Coturnix japonica: one gene and its partners. The protein of the gene in region 2 binds, or shares a complex with, the protein of the main gene of each other region. Links are inferred from orthologs where the notes say so. Each region holds a gene or a part of one and is shown on either strand. Other genes may lie near its edges. The genes, in order: RAB3IP, RAB8A, RAB3IL1 and RILPL2.

Region 1 (5,652 bases), on a different chromosome or scaffold from region 2:
TTATCAAATAAATAAAATCATGAATATCCTTTGTACTTTTGTTAGATTAATATATAGTGAAAGGTTAGAATAGCATTTGTGTCTACTCAATGTGGCCATTTTCATTTTAGATGACAGTATGTAATCCAGATGACGTACACAAATCAAGTAATTGCCACAAACCAGTATGAAACTACAGCATGTTAATTTCCTTATATTGTTACCTGAAAATAATGCAAATTTGGGGTACGCTGTCAGAACTTTGCCCCTTCTTCCTACCTCTCTGCTGACCCAAATAACTTCCCAAAGGAACCACGCACTAATCTGTTACTTTATCTAAGATTTATTAAAAGTGATTACAAAGAAACCAGTTAAACAACAGTTCAACATGTTCTTATCATTTCTAACAGGAACCAAGAGCTGTGAACGCTGTGAAAAGCCAAGTTAAAACACTTCATTAAGCTTTCAGAAGGGGTCCAAGTCAGAGCAGTTAACACCACAGAGCAGTAACTTATCACAGAGGAGTATGCCCAAGGAGGTGGTGGAGTCTCCTTCTCTGGAGATATTCAAGACCCGCCTGGACACCTACCTGTGTGACGTGGTGTAGGGAGCCTGCTTTGGCAGGGGGGTTGGACTCGATGATCTCTAGAGGTCCCTTCCAACCCCTACAATTCTGAGATTCTGTGAGGAAAGTCTTCTTCAGTACTTCTGTTTAAGACTGCCTGCTGTAGGCTCTGGAGTTTCTCTTTTAGGGTCTGCTCAAAGCTGTCATTTCAGTCTGTTGGTATTTGAAAGCAAACTCCTAATTGCTGGAAAAGCCATTTGCTGGTCGCATTGCTTTCCAACATTTTATACCTCAAACAGCTCATTTTTGAGCTTTAATAGTCAAGAGCACAACAGAACTGTTACCTGCTCAAGGAAACAGGAGGGGAAAAAAACAAGCTTAAGGAGTCACTGATGACAAGAAAATTCTAGTTGGCATTTAGCGAAATATGTGCATATTACCTGTAGGGTTTTAATATTTAGAAAGGCCTTCTGTGTGGGGATAATGAAATCTCAAAGGCTTCATTTATTAGACTCTGGAGCCTGCTTCCATTTGGAGGGGGAGCAGGACAGACAAGTTGATTTTTTGTACCGGTTCCTCAGGACTGGCATTTGCCCACCATAAGGCCTGCATTCTTCTCAGTGGGTTTTGAAATGTTTGGCATTTATACAGCCTGGAATGTGAGATGCTTTAAGCCCTAAAGAACTCAACGGGGAAATACAGTAGTGGACTGACAAACACATAGCTGTTAAAGAAGCAGTCCGATTACTGCAACTCCATACCCAGCACTGTTTGTAAGGCTCACATGAATTCAAGGCTCAGATAAGCAAATCAACACAGTATATGAGATGTTCATCAGATGCAGATACTCAATAAAGAGGTTTGGTGATTTTTTTTTCCCCCCAGGGCTAAAGTGTTTTCTATTTCTGCCCAGCCACAAGAAGCAAATTTAAACATGGTTACCAATGCAGCCCACTGCACTGACAGCTCCAGATTTGACTCAGGAATTCCCTTCAAGTTTGCCATAATCATAAAAATGAGAATGTTTTGCAGAACTTTTCACTCAGGGAAACAATTTGCAACAAGTCACTTGGAGGGCAGGAAGATACAAGAGAAACTACTGACTCTTCCAGTGTTGTTACTGCTTTTCATAGAATCACAGAATGGCCTGGGTTGAAAAGGACCACAATGATCATCCCGTTTCAACCCCCTGCTATGTGCAGGGTCGCCAACCAGCAGACCAGGCTGCCCAGAGCCACATCCAGCCTGGCCTTGAATGCCTGCAGGGATGGGGCATCCACAACCTCCTTGGGCAACCTGTGCCAGTGCATCACCTCTAGTTTTTCTTCACCTCCGTGTGGAAAAACTTCCTCCTAATATCCAACCTAAACCTCCCCTGACTCAGTTTAAAACTATTCCCCCTTGTCCTATCACTATCCACCCTCGTAAACTGCCATCAAACAGCTTTCATTTGTGAGTGACACTAGATGATATATTTACCAGCAGACAATAAAGAAACAGGCAAGTCTGCAGAATTCAAGACCTATAAAAAAGGAAAAAGAAGAGGAAAAACTGCTTGGATATGATGCTTTTCTATCTTATCCCCCCCATGTTTGGTGATATCACACTACAACGCAGTCTTCTTCCAGTCTTTAGTCTATTGCCAACCAACCACCACTGCCCCTCTTACGGGAGGGTAGAAGTAGCACACAAGATTCAGAGACGCATTTATAAAGCCCTTGTGAAACTTACAAATAAATAAGGCTTAGAGTCTGCTACACAGTATAGGTCTTACTCCAGAGAAAGATCAGCACTCTGTGAAGTAGAATCCCTCAGAACTTACTGTAGACATTCAAAGTACAGCGTTCCGCTGACAAAGCCTCTCTAAACGCAGTGATATAGTATTCCCTTCCCAGACGTTGCTCTGAAGGCACAGCACGGTTCTGCCTTACCTGGGGAGGAGTCTCATAGCACAGCTCAGCTTGGCTCTGGGTCACACCGCCACAGCAACGTAACTCGTGCTAAGACTTTGGCTAAAGACAAACTCATCTCCAGTTAGCGCTGAAAATATTTAATCAATAAAAGCGACCACACGTTGAAGTACGTTAAAGCTTTCTAGATGTGTGTGCATCTAGCCTGAACCAGGTGAGCGATATGAGCCCTTCCAACCCGAGCTAATCTATCATTTCACATTACCAACCATAACTACGGAGTCTAACACAACTTCAAGTCCATTTACCGCAGACAACGCTCTGAGAACAGTATTAAAAATAAAACAAACACCTCAAGCACACGTTTATTCCCTGGGAAAACCCATCAAGCAGAAGGAAGATCGGCTCCCGTGGTATTTTCCACGCATTTCTCCAGCCGTGACCCCGTCCTGCACAGGCTCCGGTGCCTCCGCCGCAGCTGGGGGTGCGCACGCCTTTGTTATTTATTAAAAGCATAACGAGAGCGGTGAATTATTGATGGCTCTTCGCTGGCCGGGCTCGCTCGGTAACACGAACCAAGGGCAGCGGATCGGCTGCAAGGCAGAGGCACGGCAGGCCTGGCCCGAGCCCCCTCGCTGAGCTGCTCTGACAACAATAATAACATTACTACAGCAGCGGGCTTTGCGTGTCACCGAGGAACGCAAACACCGAACAGATGGCAGCCGCCAGTGCGGGCTCCTACACGGAACGAGCCCACATCTGCCTGCTAAAAGAGCCGGCGATGGCACGGCCGGTCTGAACGCCGCAAGCTCAGCTTCCCCCCACACGGCGCAACAAACTCAGCCCTCAGCCCCCACCACACACCCTCCGTCCCCCCACTCCCGGTACCTGCGCCCCGCCAGCCCCAACGGCCGCCGCCGCACCGCGTCCCTCGGCCAACATGGGGGGCGGGCGCTGGGCCGCCCTCACGCATGCTCCCCGCCGCCGCCCCGCCCGCTGGGAGGGGAGTAGGTGCTCGCCCTCCGCCGGGCTGGATTCGTGATGGTGGAGGCGGCCTCCAAGGGGGGAGATGGCGTCAAATGAGAGGCAGCGCCCTCACACCGCCATGGCCGAGCGCCTTGAGCGCGGTTTAGTGCCGCGCTGAGGGGATTGGTGCGAATAGTGAGGGGCGCTTCGTGAGGAGACGGCCCCACAACTTGAGGAAGGAGCCATCGGCGTCTCTGTGCTCCTCAGCCAGGCACCCTCCAGATGATGCTTTCTATACATTTAAAAGCAGTAGGCAAAGTGTTGGAAAGCTGGTATAAATAAGACACCATTTTGCTCCAAAAGCAATGCCTCCTATTTATTTCCATACATAGTACCACCAGTGCAAAGAGTACGATAACACTGTTTGGTAAAGCAGTTTCTCAGCGACAACACACTATTTTTGAGCAGTCACCACCATTAGCTGTTCATTGAGTAACAAGAGCCTGCGTGCCATCCACTGCCTCACCATCCTCACATCAACTCTTTGGTCTCCATAAGCATTCAGCAAGCATCGATGAATGTCAGTGGGCGCCATTTTCCTCACACGGAGGAATATAATGACACACCTTTGATCAATCTGCACTTCCATGCCAGATGCCATTCTGTCAGATTGCCCTTCTGCTGCCATCTGTCACACGGCAACAACATGAAATGGGATATTAGTGAGAAGGTTTGACCTCTACTGCTGTACCACCAACATCCACCTGTGGCATCATGAGCCAACATAATAAAATAGGAGGCATTACTTTCAGAACACCCCATGTAGTTCACCCATAAGTGTTTCATGTAACAGCAGTATCTGTTTCACTCTGTGCTTTGATCGTAGTTAGTACAGCTGAACTGAAACATGTGTCTCAGTGATGAGAAACTCAAGCAAAAAATGCATGTAAACAAGGTCTTGTCCCAATCATCAGTCAAGAATCCAGGCCGCGTTCTTTTCAATAATTGAAATGTTAATTGGCTTGACAGCCTTCTACTGAATGTGAAAGAATCCTGTTTGACCAGTCCTGCAGGACACAGCCTCAGACAAATCATATTCTCTGCGATGCATTAACTACTGTATCCAACAAGTAAAATCTTCACTTAGGGCAAAATGAGATGACGAGATGAGAAAGACAGCGTCAAAAGAGGAACACTGATGACATTCATCACAAAGTAGATTTATTAACCATAAACGGTAATATATTCCAAACCACTTTTCAGTGTGTAAATCTACACAAGGGGCTCAGACAGCAAAAATGGTCTTCAGAGAATCATCACCCACAGCTTATCTGGATGTAACTGGAAAACAGCAGTGCAAAGAGCAGAGTACTCGAATAGCAGTATAACCTGAAGGTTGTTGCAAAAAACCTCATAGAATGGGGATTTTCAGCTTGAAGAGCTCCAACCTTTAAAATGATTTAATTTTCTAATATTGCCATGCAATAGAACCCACGCGGTGCTATCAGAACACAGGTCTGCCTAATTAGAAGATGTAGCAGGAAGTTCATTAAAACAGGATTGCAAAGGAGACCGTGACAAGTGTAATCAGAAGTTGAAAACAATGTATTAAGACATAGTAAATGGACAAGAGTCTATAATTAGGGTCTGTAATCCTATAGTTCTTAATCCTGTACATGACTGTACTTGGCATGACGATCTGCTGTCTTAACCAGATTAGACATCTTGCATTTCAAGAAATAAAAGCAATACTCTTCCAAAGACATTTGACTGCACTAAAATTAATCACCAACAGATTTATTTTGTCAGGGCATTCCTGTATTATGCTGTATGTAGTCAGACAGCATCAAACTACAGAAACTGTGGTTAAAATGAAAAGCTGAAACCATTTTCATTAAATCCAGAGACAGAAAAAGGAAGAGTAAATTCCCCCCCCCCCCCAGAAATACCTCTCAAGGTATTTTACCAAGGTGGTAACAGCCAGGGAAGGCTGTTTAGTTAAGGCAACCCAAAACAATGCACCAGCAAATCCTGGTGACCTGGGAGCTTAAATGGAGCCCCTGAGCTTCTTCTTATACAAGGAGAAGGTGCCTGGCTAAGAGCTCCAGCTAAGTCTGATCAGGGCAATAAGTCCTATTTGTTTCCTTAAGGAGCTTGGCAATGAGAGAAACTAGAAGTCCTGTTCAAAATAAAAGCGCACATCCCCCTTGTTTTCAATGAACAGTGTTGCTG
Region 2 (5,675 bases):
TGCCTATAATTCATCTATACATTCTGTCGGATCAAATCTGTAATCGTACAAAAAGCATTACTAAAAATCAGCAGGAGCTTTCACTCATTTCTTTAAGACTTCAATTGCATCAGCCTCTGTGAAAAGTCAGAGAGCTGCACATCCTACTTCTGCCTTTGACCAACAAGTACAGAGCCGGCTCTCCTTTCCATCAAACCAAAGACAGCAGAGGCCAGAAAAACTGCAGGATATGTTTGGTTTGTGCTGCATACTTCAGGGTACCAGTAAAGTAGAAACAATCTGATTTTCTTCATGAAATGAAGCCAATAGAGTATGAAGCAGACACTCAAAACTTATACAGTTCACTTCTCCAGACTGCAGGAGCAAGAAATATCGCAAAGCAGCTCCCCTCTACCACTCGCATGGCTTTCTAAACAACACACAGGAAAACTGTTCAGAGAACATCAACAACTGCAGCTGAATCCTGAAACACAGACCCAATGGTTTCCATGCTGTGAGCAGAACACAGTTCTGAACCTAAAAACAAATCTCTGTGACCTTCAGTGCATTCCAGGCGGAGACCACGGGAGACCATTCACTGCGATGCAGCTCTTGGTGTTAATCCTCCATTTAAACAAAGCTTAGCCTAAGTAGAAGTCACTTACCAACTTCTTGTCCATTTTTGCTTTGATGTCTCTGGCAAGAGTGAAAAATGCCTGTAATAAGAAATACAGTTAATAAAACACAATCTTAACAGCTTTGTTTAACAATAATCTGCCCTTCTGACTGTAACAGCCCATATGAAGTATCAGCAGTTGAGTTCTGCACTCAGTCAGGATGGGCAACTGTTCTTACAGCTTATCTTCACGCGTTATAAGACAATAAATACAAGAGAAAGGTCGCAGTACTTACATTCTCTATGTTTATATTTGCTTTTGCACTGGTCTCCATGAATTTAATTCCAAAACTCGCTGCAAGCTGAACAAAAGCAGGTTCTGTGTTAGTCGGGTGGCTGCAGGAACAGCCATAAACATAACAGACAGCGCGGGATCTCCTCCACAAACCAGGAACTGAGCTGCATTGCTATCAGCATCTGTTCTTACTGGACTTTGTTCTTCTTTTTCATAGAACAAAACACACATTTTTGTCTGCTCCTTTGTCTTTAAATACATACATCTATTTCTAACAGATACCTTGTCAGTTCTGTAACGTCTGTGGTACATAAAAGTACATTCTCTACTTTAACTGACATCCGATGCCAGAAACAACAACCCTGCCTACCTGTGTATGACAAAAGCAGCCATTCCTAAATGATTTTCTTTCTTTGGCTGAGAACTCAGTTACTCCGCATCTAACATCTCAACCAGGTAACCCAGCTGCATTCTGAACAGACTCATCTTTTTGTTGGACTGCAGCTACAGCTTGGGAAGCGTTCGGTAGCTGCACTCAGAAGTTCCACTGAGGAGGCACACACAACGATGAGCGCTGCTGTTACACTGCAGCACAGGCTGCTTCTGCTCAGGCAGCAACTGCACTTTGCATCAGTGCTGGCAGGAAGGAGCTCAGCAGGCTCTGCAGACACTGATCACCCCAGGGAGCACTGACTTCTACGTACTGCCTTCACCTTCAGCATCTGGGCGCAGCCCGTGACACTTACCTTCTCCCCTTGCTCTCTAGAAACTTGTCTTTTGTCATTTGCATCACATTTGTTCCCAAGGATCATTTTTTCAACGTCCGGAGAGGCATGCTGAGATAGGAACAGAGGAAAGAAAGGACTGTGTTTATGTCTTACAAATACTGCCAAATGACGAGGTTTCCATCAAGAACTTCAAATGGATACATGGGTGCTGAGCACTCTGTAGGTTTCTGAGCTCCTGCACAGCACCTGATCCCAGCACTGCACTGCAGGCACCGACTGCTCTGTGAGCGCCCTGTGAACCATCAGCTCTGTGCCAGGAAAATCAAATCAAAAGCACACACTGCAAATTTGTTACCCACAGCATTCCCTGACTTTCATTTAATCTATTTTCTACCCACTCTAAATTTGAAAGAAGTGTTACTGAAGCATTTAATTTCCAACTGCTTTTGGAGGGAGAAACAGCACCTTGAATGTCAAGTAAAGAGAAGTTACCTCTTCAATGTTCCTGACCCAGTTCCGAATATTTTCAAAAGACTTTTCATTGGTGATGTCATAGACCAACATAATGCCCTGAGGAGGAAGGAGAGATACTTGTTTTGGCTATGATCATATATGCAACAGTTAAACCTGTCTGTAACAGAAAGGAGTGCCTTAAGGACTGATAAAGAAGAGCTGTTTCAGCACAACCCGGAACGTCAGCGCGTGTTGCCAGATGCAATGATGGGGTGTGAGCTCAGTGAGTCACTGCAGCCGTCTGCCCCGGGCCCTCCCAGCACCCAGCACAGCGCCGGCGCTCAGCCAAGTCCAGGCAGCTGTGCCTGCAGCACTGCAGGCTGCTCTGATACTGCTCTGCTGGGAGCCGAACCGCCCTGCGCCGCGCTCCTACCATGGCTCCCCTGTAGTACGCCGTCGTGATGGTGCGGAATCGCTCCTGCCCGGCGGTGTCCCTGCAACAGATGGAACGAGGGGTCACACACCTCCCACCTTAATGCTGTCAGACATTCATGTCACACGTTGGTCTTCACGTGCACTAAAACTGCTTTAGTTTAATGATACCGCTGAAGAGCACAACTGCACACAAAGTAACAGCACTGCACTGCAGCACCGACTGCATCAACGAGCCTCACCATATCTGCAGCTTGATCCTCTTGCCATCGAGCTCTATAGTCCTGATCTTAAAGTCAATGCCTGCAACGACAAACAACTCATTACATTTAACTTCTACAGAGGACAAACCAACGCTTTTCCCTCCGCTTCCCCCCGACCAGACTGTGCCGCACAGCGTCCCCACGGCCGGGACGGAACCGCGGCTCAGCGCCCGCAGCGCCCCGCGGGATCGGACCCGAACCGAGCGCAGCGACAAGGCCCGCAACGCACCGCCCGACAGCACCGCCACACAGACAGCACCGCCACACAGACAGCACCGCACCGACCGACGGCACCACACTGCACTGCACTACGGCACCGCACGGCCCGACGGCACCGCGGCGCGGCACGGCACGGCACGGCACAGCCCCGTCCCGGCCCGCAGCGCCCCCCGCGCTGTGTGCAGCCCCGGCCGCCCCGCGCACCGATGGTGGAGATGAAGGTGGCGTTGAACGCATCCTCGGAGAAGCGGAAGAGCACGCAGGTCTTGCCCACGCCCGAGTCGCCGATGAGCAGCAGCTTGAACAGGTAGTCGTACGTCTTCGCCATGTTCCCGGGCGCCGCCCCTGCGGCACCGCCCGCCCCCCGCGCCGCCTCACAGGCCGCGCCCGCCGCCCATCACGGCCCGCAGCGCGGCGATTGGCCGAGCGGAGCGTTACGTCACCGCCGACCCGGTGGGCGGGACCTCGAGCCGCCGCGCCATTGGACTCCGCTCGCGACGTAAGCGGCACCGCGATTGGCCGCGCGCTCCCGGCGCAACGTCACTTCCGGCCGCGAGCGGAAGGCGCCCGTCTCCGCGCGAGTAGAAGCCGGAGGGAGGGGACGGGGCGCGCGGGCAGCGTCACGTGGCCTGTCGGCTCGTGACGTCACCGAGAGGCGGCGCGGCGCAAGGAGCGGAGCGGCGGGAATGGCGGAACACGTGTAACACGTTTAATGCGCGACGCCACGTCCGGGATGAGCGGAACCGGGACGAGCGGCGGCAGAGCGCAGCGGTGACGCGATGAGGGCGGGTTTCGTCTTCCGGCCGCGGCGTTCCCCGGGTCATATACAGTTCAGTTCGTTTAGTGTCTGGTCCAGCGTCTGGTGCAGCCCCAGGTTCTCCTCCTTCGCTTGAGCGAGTTTGTCTGGAGGAAGGGAGCAAAAAAAAGGCGTAAAGCGGACAGTGCTGCGCTGCTGTGCCGTACAAACACCGCCCGATGCGCCGGAAACAACAGCGCTGTCGGGTTTGCGGTTGCTCCGGTTTTTCGGAGCTGCCCGGCGCCCCCCGCTGAGCACCGAGCGGTACTTACAGCGTCAGTACTGATAAGGAAACAAAGCCCCAAAGCGGACAGGTAAAGGCATCTGATCTTTATTGAGCGCAGTTCTTACAGAGCAGGCTGAAGGATGGATCGCTTTTAGCACAGAAGGAATTACAGGCAAGAAGAGCATAAGAGATACAGCAAACGGAGCACCGAGAGGTGCAGACTACAGGGAGGTCATGTCATTGAGCGCGTGGTCCAGCTCCTCGCTGATTGCTTTGTACTTCAGTTTCTGAGCATACAGCTCATCTACCAGGCAGAGGCACAGAGAACAGCGCAGGGGGAGAGGCGGACAGCAGAGGGCACGAGGACAGGCAGAAGGCAGCAACCAGAGCAGTTGGAGGGGGATACAAAAGAAAACAGAGCTATGATGGAGCAGCAGTGCGGAAGCAGAAATACAGAAATATGGGCAGCTGCCACGTCAGACACTTCATCTACAGATCTCAGTTATTTCTCAGCCATCGGGCTAAAGAGCATCACGACTTTGTTACTGATTGAAATGGGTCTTACGATTCTAAGCTTGTGAGCTGGCCCAACAAAAGTTCATTGTTCACAAGGATTTGATAGAGAACCCCTTCCAGAGCAATTCTTCCCTGGCCATGAGGCAGCACCAGCCCTGCACGGCCCGCCCGGACAGCCGGCACCTGGCTGTCCTTCCCCAGCAGAATACAAAACCCATTTGAAAAGGAATGTGTAATTTCGTACCTTCCAGATCATCAATGGACTTTTCCAGTTTGGCAACCGTTCTCTCAGCAAACTCAGCACGAGTTTCAGCCTAGGAATATTAAATAGAATAACTGAGCGCTGTTAAAAAACACCGCCAAAAAGCAGCGTGGGGAGGGACGGACTCACTTCTTTGAGCTTGTCAGAAAGAATCTTGATTTCTTCTTCATACTTATCTTCCTTTTCCGAGTACTGTGGAAACAAAACACACTGCTGAAGGGCACTTGTGACAGCAATGGATGTTTATGGAAACAGGATTTATTTACAACTGCTTTCCTTTCTACAACAGCTGCCCACACTTTGTTCTCTCTTCCCTGAGACACCTCAGACTGATTTGGGTACCATCACTCCGATGGTGATGTCCAAATAACTTTGTGCATCAACTTAGACTTTATTTTCTCATGCAGCACAAAACAGCTGAATGTGCAAAGAGAAACTGCTCAGCACTATCAATGGGCTCTTGGAACAGGAAGGCAGGACACCCCTCTTAATTTCTTTTTATTTCTGCAGTATTTCTGTGCACTTCAATTACGGGTTTTGACTTTGTGCCCATCCCATAGTGAAATCTGAAAGTTACTGAAAGAACCAACCTTCTCAGCCTGAGCCTCCAGAGACTTCAGATTGTTGGTGACATTCTTCAACTCCTCTTCGAGGTCACTACATTTCCTATAGGGAAAAAAAATAAAATAAAATAGTAGGAGTCACCACTGCTGGGGCTTAATTTTACTTTCAAGAAGTCTAAAAAGATACCGTAAAAAGTTTGAAGGCATGAATTTGGGCGCATGGGGCACAATGCCACTGCCAGGCACAGCACGTGCTTCCCTATGAGTGGATTTTCCCCATGCAATGTTTTAATGCCCACTCGAGTCCCCCAGCTGTGTGAAGCTACT
Region 3 (5,669 bases), on a different chromosome or scaffold from region 2:
CAGTCTCTGGCTCCTCCTTGCTGCCTTTGGATGGCTTTAGTGGTTTCCAGTATCCCACAGCTGGTTGCTCCTGGCTGTCTTCCTCAAAATGGGTCTGGCTGTAGGGAACCGGCACAGTGAAACTGTGTGTGGGGGTGATCAGCAAACCTGCCAGGCTCAGAAACAGCCTCAGAGGCAACAGCAAGACAAACCAGCCTGGGTTCACCCAACATTTCAGGGAGGCTGAGGGGTACCGTACTGAACAGGACATTCAGTAGTGAGCTGTGCTGCACCTTCAGGCTCCCAAGAGCACAGGAGTGAAGCAGGCAGGTTGAAGGCATACAAAGAAACTGGCTTAGAGGACCTCTTTTGTGTCCCAGAGCTGCACCAGCTCCTTTGCCTGCTGGCTGGGCTTGCCTGCCCTCAGCAGAATTTCTAAGGATAAATCCTTGTCAAACAAACCATCTTCTTGCAGCCAGTTCTTCAAACAGAGATTGAGAGAGCTGAGAAATGTAACTGGAATAAGCTGCTCATGCACAAATACTGTTACAAGCATGGTTAAACAAGCCGCTCACCAGATTCCTCGTACTGCCCTCTCTTAAATACAAGCCAAGGCCAGGAAAAATATTTGTCAGATTCATTTGCTGCAGGCGTGAGCATCAAACAAATCAGAACAAATGAAGATGGGGAACACTCATCTGTGAGTTTCAGCCCTGAAGTCCCTCATAGCTCAGACAGACCCTAAGCAAACACTGAAGGCAGAACAGACATACAAAATTCACAGCCTGGCCATTTCTCTTCTCTTCCTTCTTAAAAGATCCCAGATATACACACAGATATTGCTTCCCTACTGGATTACTTCGCGCTTTTGACATGAATTCCTTTCAGAACAGCAACAGAGAGGAGACAGTGACCCAAAGCAATGAGTTGGGAGGAAATCTCTGCTATCCTGGGATCTTCAATAATCGCACCAAGTACAGTGTGAGATGCCTGCACTCCTGGCAAGAAGGGCTTGTTTCTCAACAGCAAAGTACTGCCTCACAGACAACTCTCTACACACAAAACATAAGTAGGCAAAGTTATAACACCTCGTTTTACCCTTCCCAAACAGAACATCTCAGACATTTAACTCAGGACAAAGCAAGACTAAACACAGCTATTCCAGGAGTGCCGTTCTTGAGCATTTTCAGAGAAAAACAGACCACAGCTGGCTTATTTAGTATTCCAGCAAACACTCCATCGGCCTAAGTTCAGGGACGCTGCTCCCCAAACCACAGGAGGAGCAAAGAAAAAAAACAGTACAGCTTTGACATTCCATAGCAATACAAAGACCGTGACCCCCTTCACTTCAGATCCAGACTTCAACCCCACAGGGCAGGAAGAGGCTGGGTAGGTTTTGCAGCTGCTGGTGTGTTACAAGAGGAAAACACATGCCTGAATGCCTGTCCACGTGGCAGAAAGTGTGGTCTGCCAGCTGTCTTCTCCTGCAAAGAAGTTCAGGTACCACAGGGAGTGGTGTGAATGCGCACTAAGAGAAACCTCTTTGAGCCATGGGATGAGAAAGGGTACAGGACCATCCACGATGCCATGCCATGCAAACTGGACAGAACTGGGAAGGGGCAGCATGCAGTCAGTGTCATAGATTTTGCCAGTCTCTTTATAGAATAAGTAAGAGAGCTTAAGCAGTGCTGGAAGGGAGGAAAGGATTCAGAAGGAACGGTTGACTTGACCTGGTCTTACTAGGTCTAGAAGGAGCTTGTTCTGGTGATAAATGCTATTAGGAAGTATAATAAATAACATAAAGGAGCACGCTGGGGAGGGAAAACGACAGACAGCACTGCCATGCAAAGATAATTAATCTGAAGCTACTCAGCACGCTGGAGCTGCCGATAAAAATGCCATATACACACACGGATGCATAGATCTGAGTGAGCAACTTGTAACCAGTGGAAACTCCCAGACCACGCCAGCACTTACTCTTGTAAGTGCAAGAGAGAGCACTTATGGTGCACACTGCATGGTGTTCAGACAGCACAGCACTGGCTGTAGTCAAGCTGTTCTCTGGACACATTCAGGGAATCAGTGAAAGGTCAAGATGAGCTAAGGCAGCACTTACCTAACGAGGGCCATTGCTATGGAACGAGGAGGTCTCCAAGGGCCCCACTCAGGAAGGGGAGGTATCGAGCAAAGGAACGACCCAATGGAAAGGAACGAAGCCCATCACGGGAAGGTGGAGACTCGATGAAACCAATTCATCCTCGCCGCACGAAGCCAGGGGAGGTTCTCTGCGATGGATCTGCCACGAAGCAGGGAGAGCGTTCCAAACAGAGGCGTTCGTTCAATAGTTAAACCAAATCTCGGATGGCCCCGCGGAATCCCTCCCTGCAGAGATCAGACAGGCAAACTGCAGCGAGCGCACGGCTCGGGGACTCCCGCATTAGCCAGGAAGCTCCCTAGGACGGCCAGAAGGGGACAAGAAACAGAGCAGAAAGGGAAAACCGAAATCAGGACCAAACAGATGCGAAAGAAAGAGACGAGAGAAAGGGACACCACAACAGCCCGCTTAGCTACTAAGAGTCCAGCTATTCGCATGGAATAGGAAGGGAAAAAAGAGATAAGAGCCGTTTCCTCGTGACTCGAGCTCTCGGAGGAAAGTTATCAGTACAGGAGAGCGCTGCGCTGCTGCATCGGGAGGGACGGCAGGAAGGCACGGAGCGAGCCGACGGCACCCGACGGAGCGGTGCACCTGCGCTCTGCCCCGATGGGCTGCGCTGCTCGGGAACCGGGCCGGGTCCTACCCGTCCTCCAGGCGCGAGAAAAGGGCAAAGGAGAACCGAAAAAAAAAAGCAATTAAAAAGGAAGGCAAGCAAAAAAAGCCGAGCACAGCACAAACTGCCCAAGTTGGATTCCGCAGAAAAAGCCAAACAAAAAAAGTGCAGGCTCGGCAGTTTTGCAGCTTCCTGCCGCTCCGACCCCGCAGTTTCCTGCGGCTCCGTGCACGGCCGTTCCCTGCGGGCTGCTGCCCGTCCCGCACCGGGAGCGGCGGCTGACAGCGCTGCGTGGCGCCCCGCAGCACGCACGGACGCGGCGCGTCTCTACCCGGGCGGCCCCGCAGCGACCCACGGCCGGAGCCGCCGCCCGCACACCTACCCCGCTTCGTGCCCCCGGCGCATCACGGCGGCGGAGGGGACGGAGAAGCAGCGCCCGCCACCGCCATTCCCGCAGCACGCCCGGCTCCGCGGGGCCGCCCCGACGGGAGGGGGCAGAGCGAGGCGCCACGTGATTAAAGCGCGGCCCCGCGGATGCGCGTGCGCGCTGCCGTCAGCACGCCGTGATTTGGGGGGGGTACCGCCCCATAGGGGGGCTGTGGGATGAGTATCTGATGCTGCCCTGTCCTTTAATACCCCCAGGGACCGTGACCGCACCACTCCCTGCGCAGCCCGTGCCACCGCATCGCCGCTCTTCCCGTCAATCAATGCTTCCTAATATCCAACCTGGACCTCCCCTGGCACAGCTGGAGGCCATTCCCTTATATTACAGCCCAGTCCCATCTGGTCCGTAATCATCTGAGGTGCCAGAGCAAAGTGTCTGAGGTGGCCACATCCGTGGCTGTAACCTTTGTTACCTGCTGGGAGCTTTTGTGAGGAAGGGGAGATCCGCAGCTCTGCAGGCAGCACCAGAACTAATCAGTTGTAATGATTAACTCCCAGCATGGAGGGTCCTCGGGTTAGAAAGGCAGAATTGCTTCCAGAGTCCAAAAGGCAGCAAGAGAATGTTTCCAGCCGGGTTGTCTGATGGAGGGCTGGAAGGCTGTAGATGCTGAAAAGCAGGAGTAGGGCCCTGACCCAGCAAACTCAGAGCGGATGTTATTGCAAGAGTGTAACACTCCAGGATCCATCCGCCCACTCGCTCCCCTCCCTCCAGCCATGCAGCATGTTTGCTCAACTGGTGAGGAGGGCTCCAGCAAGGCTCCTCTGGGATCTCTGGGGCTAAGATCTCCAGTTTCACAGACGAGATCTGCCTTAAGCACCAAACAAACTGCTGCCCATTTCCCAGGGCAACAGGGAGGAAAAGGAGAATGAAAAAGCAGAGAAAGAAGAGCAACAAGGCTTGTGTCTGGGGGTAGCAGAGCTGTGTTGCTCAGGCAGATGCAGCCTGGCACAGTCCTGCTGTGGCACTGGAAGCACTGCTGACCCCTGCCAGATCTCGGCTGCTGCTCCCTGCTGACAGCAGTGTTTTTTGGAAGAGCTCAGCCTGAGCCCAGAGGAAGAGACATTGAGACAGGAAAAAGAAGAGCAGCTGGGAAACCTGGAAAGAAAGGACTGTCCAAACAGTACATGGTCCTCAAAGACAGCAATTAGCACACACTGAGCACCCTCAGCCTGTCCTGAGTTCCATGGGTCCCGAATGAGATGGATTTTTGCCACAAATCCTGCATTGTAAAGGTGAGAGGCCTGAGGTTCTTCACAAAAGCACTGATGGTCACTGCATCCTCTCCAAAGGCTCACGGCAAGCTCAAACATCAGAGTCAGTCTTGTCTATAAAAACAGCAATTCCTCAGATACTCTCATATTTTGGTGTTTTTTTTCTACATCACACTCCGAGGAAGAGTGTTAGTTTGAAAAAATAAAACCCATCAGCATCTATCTTGGCACTGAAAGCAGAGATGGGAGAGGGGTTTCACTGGGCTTTGACACCCGTGGTGTCCTGAGAAAAGCACTTGTTCTCTGTCAGACTGCAGGGAGGGCTCTGTCCCCTTCCCGGAGGCAGCTGCAGCAAATGAATTTCAGTCAGCACAGGGGGAGGGATTCATTTCCCGTCACAGTAACCCAATCTGCACATCTGCAAAATGGAGAAAATGGGAAGGATTCCAGGGCCTGCAAGGACAGTGGGAAGGCAGCGAGACTGAGGATGGACGTCAGTGCATCCTTGCTCCTCCTCTGCTGCTTTCAGACTGGCAGTTTGCTTCAGGCCTGGAAGAACTGAGGCCTCGGGGAATGCAGAAAGTGATCCAAGTATTGCTGCCACACTGGTAGTCCCTCAGTTATTTACTTTCCTATTAGATGCCACGGATGTTTGGTGCTGTCCTAACAGTAACTCTGAGCCATATGAACTGCTGGATGAGCTGCTTTCAGAGGAGGGCAGCAGAGTCCCCCAGATAGGGACATATCCCTCCATCAAGAGCTGGATGCTCAAGATTTTGCTGTTCCTCCTTAGAGTCCCCACGATCACAGAAAATCCCCACAGTTCCAGAAAATCTATCAAGAGAACCATTTTTGTTCTTGCCATGTAAAAGGACATGGACTCAGGCACTGGGGCCCTCTAGAACTATCTCTGTCTGCCTGCCTAGTAATCCCTTCTCTCTAGATGTGTATGCAAAGTGGTATCTCAAAGACATGTGTCCTCCCCAGACCCTGACCCTTCATGTGGACAACCCTGCCTCCAGAGAGAGCCCAATCCTGTGCTCTCTCATGTCTTCCCCCATACATGGAACTCTTTGGGTGTTTAGAGACATTTTCATCATCCTGAGTCATTCAGGGACCCTGCTGGGATGACAGCACTATGATTCTTGCTATAAAAATCCTTTGGGAGCAGCTGGAACCCAGCAGCAGTGTTTCAGGGACCTTGCAGCAAGCTCAGCCCCACAACAAAGCAGTTAATACAGGCAGTGCAGTGTGACTTTCAGGAAT
Region 4 (5,649 bases), on a different chromosome or scaffold from region 2:
TGTTTGCACCTCTGAAATAATACCAGTCCTTGATGTGATCAGAGTGTGATGCAACAGCTTTTCTTCCTTTGCTGTACTAGTTTTTCTTTCATCCCAACCTTAAAAGTCCACTCCTGTAAATGCCCATTTAATGCAAAGAAAGACAGAGCACAAGCAATGTAGGGGCTTTTTTTCAAGCAGTTGTGTCAATGGAAGAAGGGGAATTACCTTCCATGTTGTATCAATGAGGGGTACAACTGGAATTCTTTCCCAGCACTTTGCTGTGAAGGCAATTGGATGTCATGTGTCCATTAAAAATAACATATCTCAGTCTTCTAAAACCACTTTGTGCTGATCACTACAATAGGTACACAAGGTCGATGTATATTAGTACACTTCCATTGTAGGCTCCCTAAATAAGAACAAGCAAAACTTTATATAAAACATTTATTTTTTTTTCACAAGTAATGTCTGAAAGGAATCCAACAATGCAAAACGTGTACGTATGTCAAACGGTTGCTAAAATAGCAAAGTAAAGCCTATTCTGAAAGAATATTGTACAACAATTCTGAGATTGCTTATTCTCTACAGTAAGAGTGACTCTTTGTTTTCCAGTTCTTGACTCCTCACTCCTTCAGCTGCTTTTGCTGTGGCCATTTCTGCCCAGAAGTGGCTAAGTTTTCAAGAATACTCATTTTCCATGTTTAAAAGAGAACCTGCAAAAGAAAAATACAAATGGAAAAGAAGGACCATGTGGTGTGAGTGCCATCTCAGTGTGTTCTGCTTTAAGGAACTTTAAGGACATGACCTGAGCTTGTGGTACTGCGCACAGCTGCCTGCATGCAGTGTAAACAAGCCTGTGGGAACAGCTATCGTGAGTGTTAACGTGCAGACGGGTCCCAAGTTGCAAAGTTTTGTTCTGATTCTGGCTCTTTGTAGGAAAAAAGTGTCACCCTGCTTCTCTAGGTGAAGCTTGCTTTCCTGTGGAGTGCTTGTTGAACAGAAAAGGACTTCTCTGTCATATTTGAATTTTATAGAGAGGAGAAAAAGATCCAGCCAAGTAGGCCAGAGTTCAGAATTCACCCCTGGGTTTGCACGCACAGTGTGTCCTTCTCTCATGCTCTGCTAAAACAACAACAACGAAGCAGACAGACTTACAGCCGTTTGATGATTGTCTTCTCATGGCTGTTCTTGCTGGTGCCTGAGCTGCTGCCACAGGGTTCCTGCTCCAGTTCTCTAGTTTGGTCCTTTCTCTGTGAGATGATCCCACTGGTAAGAGAAGTGGATTTTGTTTGTTTTTGCTCCTTATGTAACTAGCTTAGCACAGCATTGCTGTCCTGTTCAGCAGACAGTCTGGGATGTGAGATAAGGTGGCTATTGGCTTATCACGTAACTCTGTATAACAAACAAACTCCATAGAATTACCTGAACCCTAAAGCAGCATTTACATGTTGTCTTGGTACAAAGCTCTGGCTCATTAACAGCATATTTTCAGCTTTTCAATCAATTTTTAACTTGGCCTGTAGTAAGGGGTGTATCACAGATGAGAAATCAAAGACAAGAAGCCATTCCAATGGTTGCACAGCAAAGGTAGTGGGCCAGGATGGGGAAGCTGGTGCCTCACTGCTATGTGAGAACTGCAGCTGTGCAGACAGTCTGTAAGCTGACTGCTTGGATTTAACTTTAACTTCGCCTTAACCCATTACAAACAAGGCAAAGGGCAGCATTAGTGAGTCTAAGAGTTTGTTACTCTGTTACCTCAGATGAAATGTTTAGTTTTTAAACCTTGTGAGTCTAGATGAAAAAATAATATATTGCTCCAAGGACCTTATAATACAGCCAGAATGATGAGGGGCAGAGGTGGGTGAGGAAAACAGCCTTGGAGGTGAAGCAGTTTGTAGCACAAAAGGAAGACCCTGAATCTCATCTTCTCCCAACCTGCTCCTTTCTAGAAAGACTGAGGTTCTGCTCTGAAGAAACCAACTCAGCACAGAGCTGTGCAGGGTGTTCTACCTGCTGCCATTCTTAAAAGAAAACAACACAGAAATGAATAAAACCCCCCAGCTTCTCTTCAGTGATAGCAAAAGAGCTTAACAATCTGCTTTCTACAGTAATGCCATACACGTGCTGGGGGACAAGGAACAGTGGATGTGCTTGCAGACCCCCATTTGCACTCAAAGGAAATTTACTTCCTCTGACTTGCTACTAAAACAGAATGGAAACCCCCACGATCTTCCGGTAAGTGGCGTGGTTTGAGGCAGGAGCAGTGTGTGCAACTGCTCTAACTGTGCAGGTTAATGTCTGTGCATGAGAACTCAGCTTGTATATATGGAGTTTCGGAAACCATGTGTAGGATTTCAGGAGGGCAGTTACCACAACTGCACTGAGTAAGGGGGAGTTCAGTTTTAACACTGTTGCACAGAAGCTTTGCTGTTCCCACATCTTTCTTTGCTCACTTGTAGGCTCTCATGAGCAGAGATGTCTTTTCCTCTAGGGATGAACAGCACCCAGCCCAATTTAGGTGCTCACACCTGCAATACCATCATCTGATAAGCTCCCCAGGAAGAAGTAAATGCTGCTTGTTCTTTGCTGACTATGCTATATACCTTTTGTAGCACTGCAGCTCCTCTTGCACCACGAGGAGCTGAGCTTTCAGCTGGTTACGTTCCTGCAGCACATCTCGCAGCTCCTGTAATGTGAACCGAGGGCGATTTGGATCCGTGAGGTCTATCACCATTTTATCTGGTCCCAAGTTGGGCTGTAAGAGAAATAGTAGGAGATGTGATCTTGTAACCCATCAAAACAGGACGAGAGGTAATGGCTTCAAGTTGCACGAGGGGAGATTTGGGTCGGGTATTAGGAGAAATTTCTTGTCCCAGAGGGCGGTCAGTGCAGGCACAGCTGCATGGGGAGGTGCTGGGGTCACCAACCCTGTGGGGATGTGGTTGGTGGGCACGGTGTGATGTGCTGGAGTTGGTGATCTCTGTGGTTTTTACCAACCTTAATGATCCTGTGTAAACCAGGCCGCTCCATAAGTTAGGAACTCGGAATGTTATAAACCCACAGCTACCGTTATAACGAGCATCTCTCCCTCGTCATCCCGCTTTGTTTCCCGAGCAGTTCGTTGTTATTTCACGCTGTTTGTTCCCCTATCTCAGCAGGGTGCCCTCCTACCGGCCAAGTCCCGTTCCCAAGAGCCGTATCCCCATCTCCGCACCCACCTGCTGGCCGCTCCCCGCCGCTCCGCTGCCCCTCACCGCCTCCAGCTCTGCCCGCAGGTTGTCCCGCTCCATCCGCAGCTGCTCCTCGCTCAGGCTGCTCTCGCTCACCAGCGCCTCCAGCATCTCCAGCACCCTCACCATGCTGAACTGCAGCCGCGATACGGCGGCGGGCACCTCGGGGCCGGCGCTGAGCTGCAGCAGATCCCGGCCCACTACAGAGGAGATGTCGTACACATCCTCAGCCGTCAGCTGGAACGGGCTCTTCTGCAGCGCGCTCTCGGGGCCGCCATCGTCCTCTCCATCCTCCTCCTCGTCCTCCCCGCCGCGCTGCATGGCGACAGGCGGCCCGTTACCAACTTCCTTCCCCAGGGCCGGGCCCCGCGGGCGGAGCGAACCCCGCGGGTTCCCATGGAGGAGCCGCTCCGCCCTTCGGCTCCACACGGCGGTGCCGCCTTGGGCCCGCCCCGGAACCGCCTTCAGGCTCGGGCGGGACGCGAGTATGTCCGCCGGTCCTACGAGCTGCAGCAAAGCGGTGTGAGACCGGGGGGAGCGGCTGAAGGGAACGCGGCCTCCACCGGGTTAGTGTCGGCTGCCGGGACAGGGCCCCGCTGCGAGGAGAGGTGAGGGGGGAACGGGGCGGAACGGGGCCCTGCAGGCGGGGCGGCTCCGCTGTCTGTGAGGGCCCGGCCGGGCCCGAGATCCCGAGCGGCTGTGAGGCTGAGGCAGACCCGGCGCTCGTTCTGAAGGGCTTTTGTAAGGATCGCTGCGCTCTGGAAGCGCTTCAGCCCTGCCTGCTTTCCCTGCTTTCCCTGCTTTCCTTTCTAAGATGCCAGCCATGAGCTGTGTTTAATTCGATTTCTTTTCCCGCTAGCAATGACCGATTGGGCGCCCATAGCGAAGGAGTATGACCCCCTCAAAGCGGGGAGCATCGATGGCACGGATGAGGAGCCCCATGACCGTGCCATCTGGAGGGCCATGCTGGCGCGTTACGTCCCCAACAAGGGTGTGACGGGAGATCCACACCTCACCCTGTTCGTAGCGAGGCTCAATCTTCAGACAACAGAGGAGAAATTAAAGGAGGTCTTTTCCCGGTATGGAGACATCAGGAAGATCCGTCTGGTTCGAGACTTGGTCACAGGGTTTTCCAAGGGTTACGCGTTTATCGAGTACAAAGAGGAACGTGCTCTGCTGAAGGCCCACAGAGATGCCAACAGGCTGGTTATCGATCAGCACGAGGTCTTCGTAGATTTTGAACTGGAAAGGACTCTCAAAGGATGGATTCCTCGGAGGCTTGGAGGTGGTTTTGGAGGCAAAAAAGAATCTGGGCAGCTGCGGTTTGGAGGACGGGACAGACCTTTCCGGAAACCCATTAATTTACCAAATGTGAAAAATGATTTCTATGGAGAAGGCTCAGCAGAGAAAAGAAACTGGTCTCGAGAGGGAACGAGGGACTGGAGAACAAGAGACCGAGAGCATGAAAGGAGCAGAGAGAAGAGAGGGCCAGAAAGAGAGCGGTCGTGGGGTTGGGGTGACAGTGAAAGAGACTCAAAAGAGGAGAGGAGCAGAGGGAGAGAGAGAAAGGACAGAGACAGAAAGGACAGAGATAGAGACCGGAGCAGGGAAAGAGATGCCAGGAAGCAAAGAGATGATGATAAGTATCGATAGCTGGCAGCACCTTAAGGGAATGATGGGAAGTTTGGGTATGGTGACTACTCTTTTGTGTCTCTAGAGTAGCATGAGACACATAGAACTGCCTGTACTGCTGGCTGGGGGCACAACTCTGCTGTTATGGTGAATGAACTGCTATGGAGGAGGTGATGCAGCAGGTTCTGGCATCTGCAGTGTGGAAAAAGCTGTGTCTTCTGGAGGACGTGGACGTGACTCAGTTGTAGATGTCACCTTCAGCAGGGGGCTGTGAACTGCATTCCCCAGACAAGCAGCATTCGTGTTACTGTCTTGTGCCTTTGACTTTTATCTGCTAGAAGCTCTGTAGCGTGGGTCATAGCGCAGGTATCTTTTGTTGAATTGTTCTTAAGAGAAATTAAACTTTTCTGTTCATGTTTTAAAGTGGTGAAAAAGAAATGCACGTGTTACCATCCCCTCAAAATCAAGCACTCGCCTCATTTGCTGTTCATTTTGCTGCTGGGATCAGTGTTTGTGAGAGAGCTCCATATTTAATTCTTTGTGTGCCAGATGCCCACTCATTTTGTGAGACAGATGCCCTTTATGAAGTCACTTCATGAAGAAATAGGAATGAAATGACAGCGACAAACTAGACTTGAAGAAATACTCGTTTCTCAGAAATATTTATTAAACTGTTAAAATGATTTACTGCCCAAAACAAACAGAACACAAAAAAAACCCCATAACAACTTCAGTGATCCTGCACTCTGGACACAGGATTGTTTCTGCCTTTCATCCTGCCTTCCTTTTTAAAAGCAGATTTTAG

The links.
Region 1: the proteins of RAB8A (region 2) and RAB3IP are in contact, whole or in part, in a crystal structure (PDB 4LHX), measured with the Homo sapiens proteins. The link is inferred for Coturnix japonica from reciprocal best matches to the Homo sapiens genes RAB8A and RAB3IP. Residues at the interface, in NP_005361.2 of Homo sapiens: Lys10, Phe33, Ser35, Thr36, Phe37, Ile43, Asp44, Phe45, Lys46, Ile47, Trp62, Ile73, Ala76, Tyr77, Arg79, Gly80; in NP_783322.1 of Homo sapiens: Ser199, Arg202, Asp203, Gly206, Leu209, Glu210, Thr213, Ala214, Phe217, Glu218, Ala220, His221, Val224, Asn228.
Region 3: the proteins of RAB8A (region 2) and RAB3IL1 are in contact, whole or in part, in a crystal structure (PDB 4LI0), measured with the Homo sapiens proteins. The link is inferred for Coturnix japonica from reciprocal best matches to the Homo sapiens genes RAB8A and RAB3IL1. Residues at the interface, in NP_005361.2 of Homo sapiens: Lys10, Phe33, Ser35, Phe37, Ile43, Asp44, Phe45, Lys46, Ile47, Gln60, Trp62, Thr72, Ile73, Thr75, Ala76, Tyr77, Arg79; in NP_037533.2 of Homo sapiens: Arg104, Glu108, Leu111, Glu112, Thr115, Ala116, Phe119, Glu120, Ala122, His123, Arg127.
Region 4: the proteins of RAB8A (region 2) and RILPL2 are in contact, whole or in part, in a crystal structure (PDB 6SQ2), measured with the Homo sapiens proteins. The link is inferred for Coturnix japonica from reciprocal best matches to the Homo sapiens genes RAB8A and RILPL2. Residues at the interface, in NP_005361.2 of Homo sapiens: Ile41, Gly42, Ile43, Asp44, Phe45, Lys46, Ile47, Lys58, Trp62, Phe70, Ile73, Tyr77; in NP_659495.1 of Homo sapiens: Leu135, Leu138, Arg139, Leu142, Gln143, Arg145, Asn146, Lys149, Ser150, Leu153, Glu157.

Annotation. Positions count from the first base shown.
Region 1 is NC_029516.1:32,253,318-32,258,969, reverse strand, and holds the start of RAB3IP (rab-3A-interacting protein), read right to left. Parts: upstream 3,456-5,652; 5' UTR 3,343-3,455; intron 1-3,342. UniProt on the Homo sapiens protein: Guanine nucleotide exchange factor (GEF) which may activate RAB8A and RAB8B. Promotes the exchange of GDP to GTP, converting inactive GDP-bound Rab proteins into their active GTP-bound form.
Region 2 is NC_029543.1:3,482,721-3,488,395, forward strand, and holds the start of RAB8A (ras-related protein Rab-8A), read right to left. Parts: upstream 3,544-5,675; 5' UTR 3,314-3,543; coding exon 3,190-3,313; intron 2,807-3,189; coding exon 2,746-2,806; intron 2,566-2,745; coding exon 2,505-2,565; intron 2,189-2,504; coding exon 2,111-2,188; intron 1,727-2,110; coding exon 1,637-1,726; intron 958-1,636; coding exon 892-957; intron 696-891; coding exon 645-695; intron 1-644. Other genes in the region: TPM4 (tropomyosin alpha-4 chain), read right to left, coding at 4,229-4,311, 4,768-4,837, 4,915-4,977, 5,376-5,451. UniProt on the Homo sapiens protein: The small GTPases Rab are key regulators of intracellular membrane trafficking, from the formation of transport vesicles to their fusion with membranes.
Region 3 is NC_029520.1:7,928,060-7,933,728, reverse strand, and holds the start of RAB3IL1 (guanine nucleotide exchange factor for Rab-3A), read right to left. Parts: upstream 3,274-5,669; 5' UTR 3,130-3,273; intron 2,362-3,129; exon of another isoform or gene 2,276-2,361; 5' UTR 2,110-2,275; coding exon 2,096-2,109; intron 99-2,095; coding exon 1-98. UniProt on the Homo sapiens protein: Guanine nucleotide exchange factor (GEF) which may activate RAB3A, a GTPase that regulates synaptic vesicle exocytosis. Promotes the exchange of GDP to GTP, converting inactive GDP-bound Rab proteins into their active GTP-bound form.
Region 4 is NC_029530.1:4,242,791-4,248,439, reverse strand, and holds RILPL2 (RILP-like protein 2), read right to left. Parts: upstream 3,645-5,649; 5' UTR 3,534-3,644; coding exon 3,201-3,533; intron 2,738-3,200; coding exon 2,586-2,737; intron 1,249-2,585; coding exon 1,138-1,248; intron 696-1,137; coding exon 671-695; 3' UTR 412-670; downstream 1-411. Other genes in the region: SNRNP35 (U11/U12 small nuclear ribonucleoprotein 35 kDa protein), read left to right, coding at 4,074-4,865. UniProt on the Homo sapiens protein: Involved in cell shape and neuronal morphogenesis, positively regulating the establishment and maintenance of dendritic spines. Plays a role in cellular protein transport, including protein transport away from primary cilia.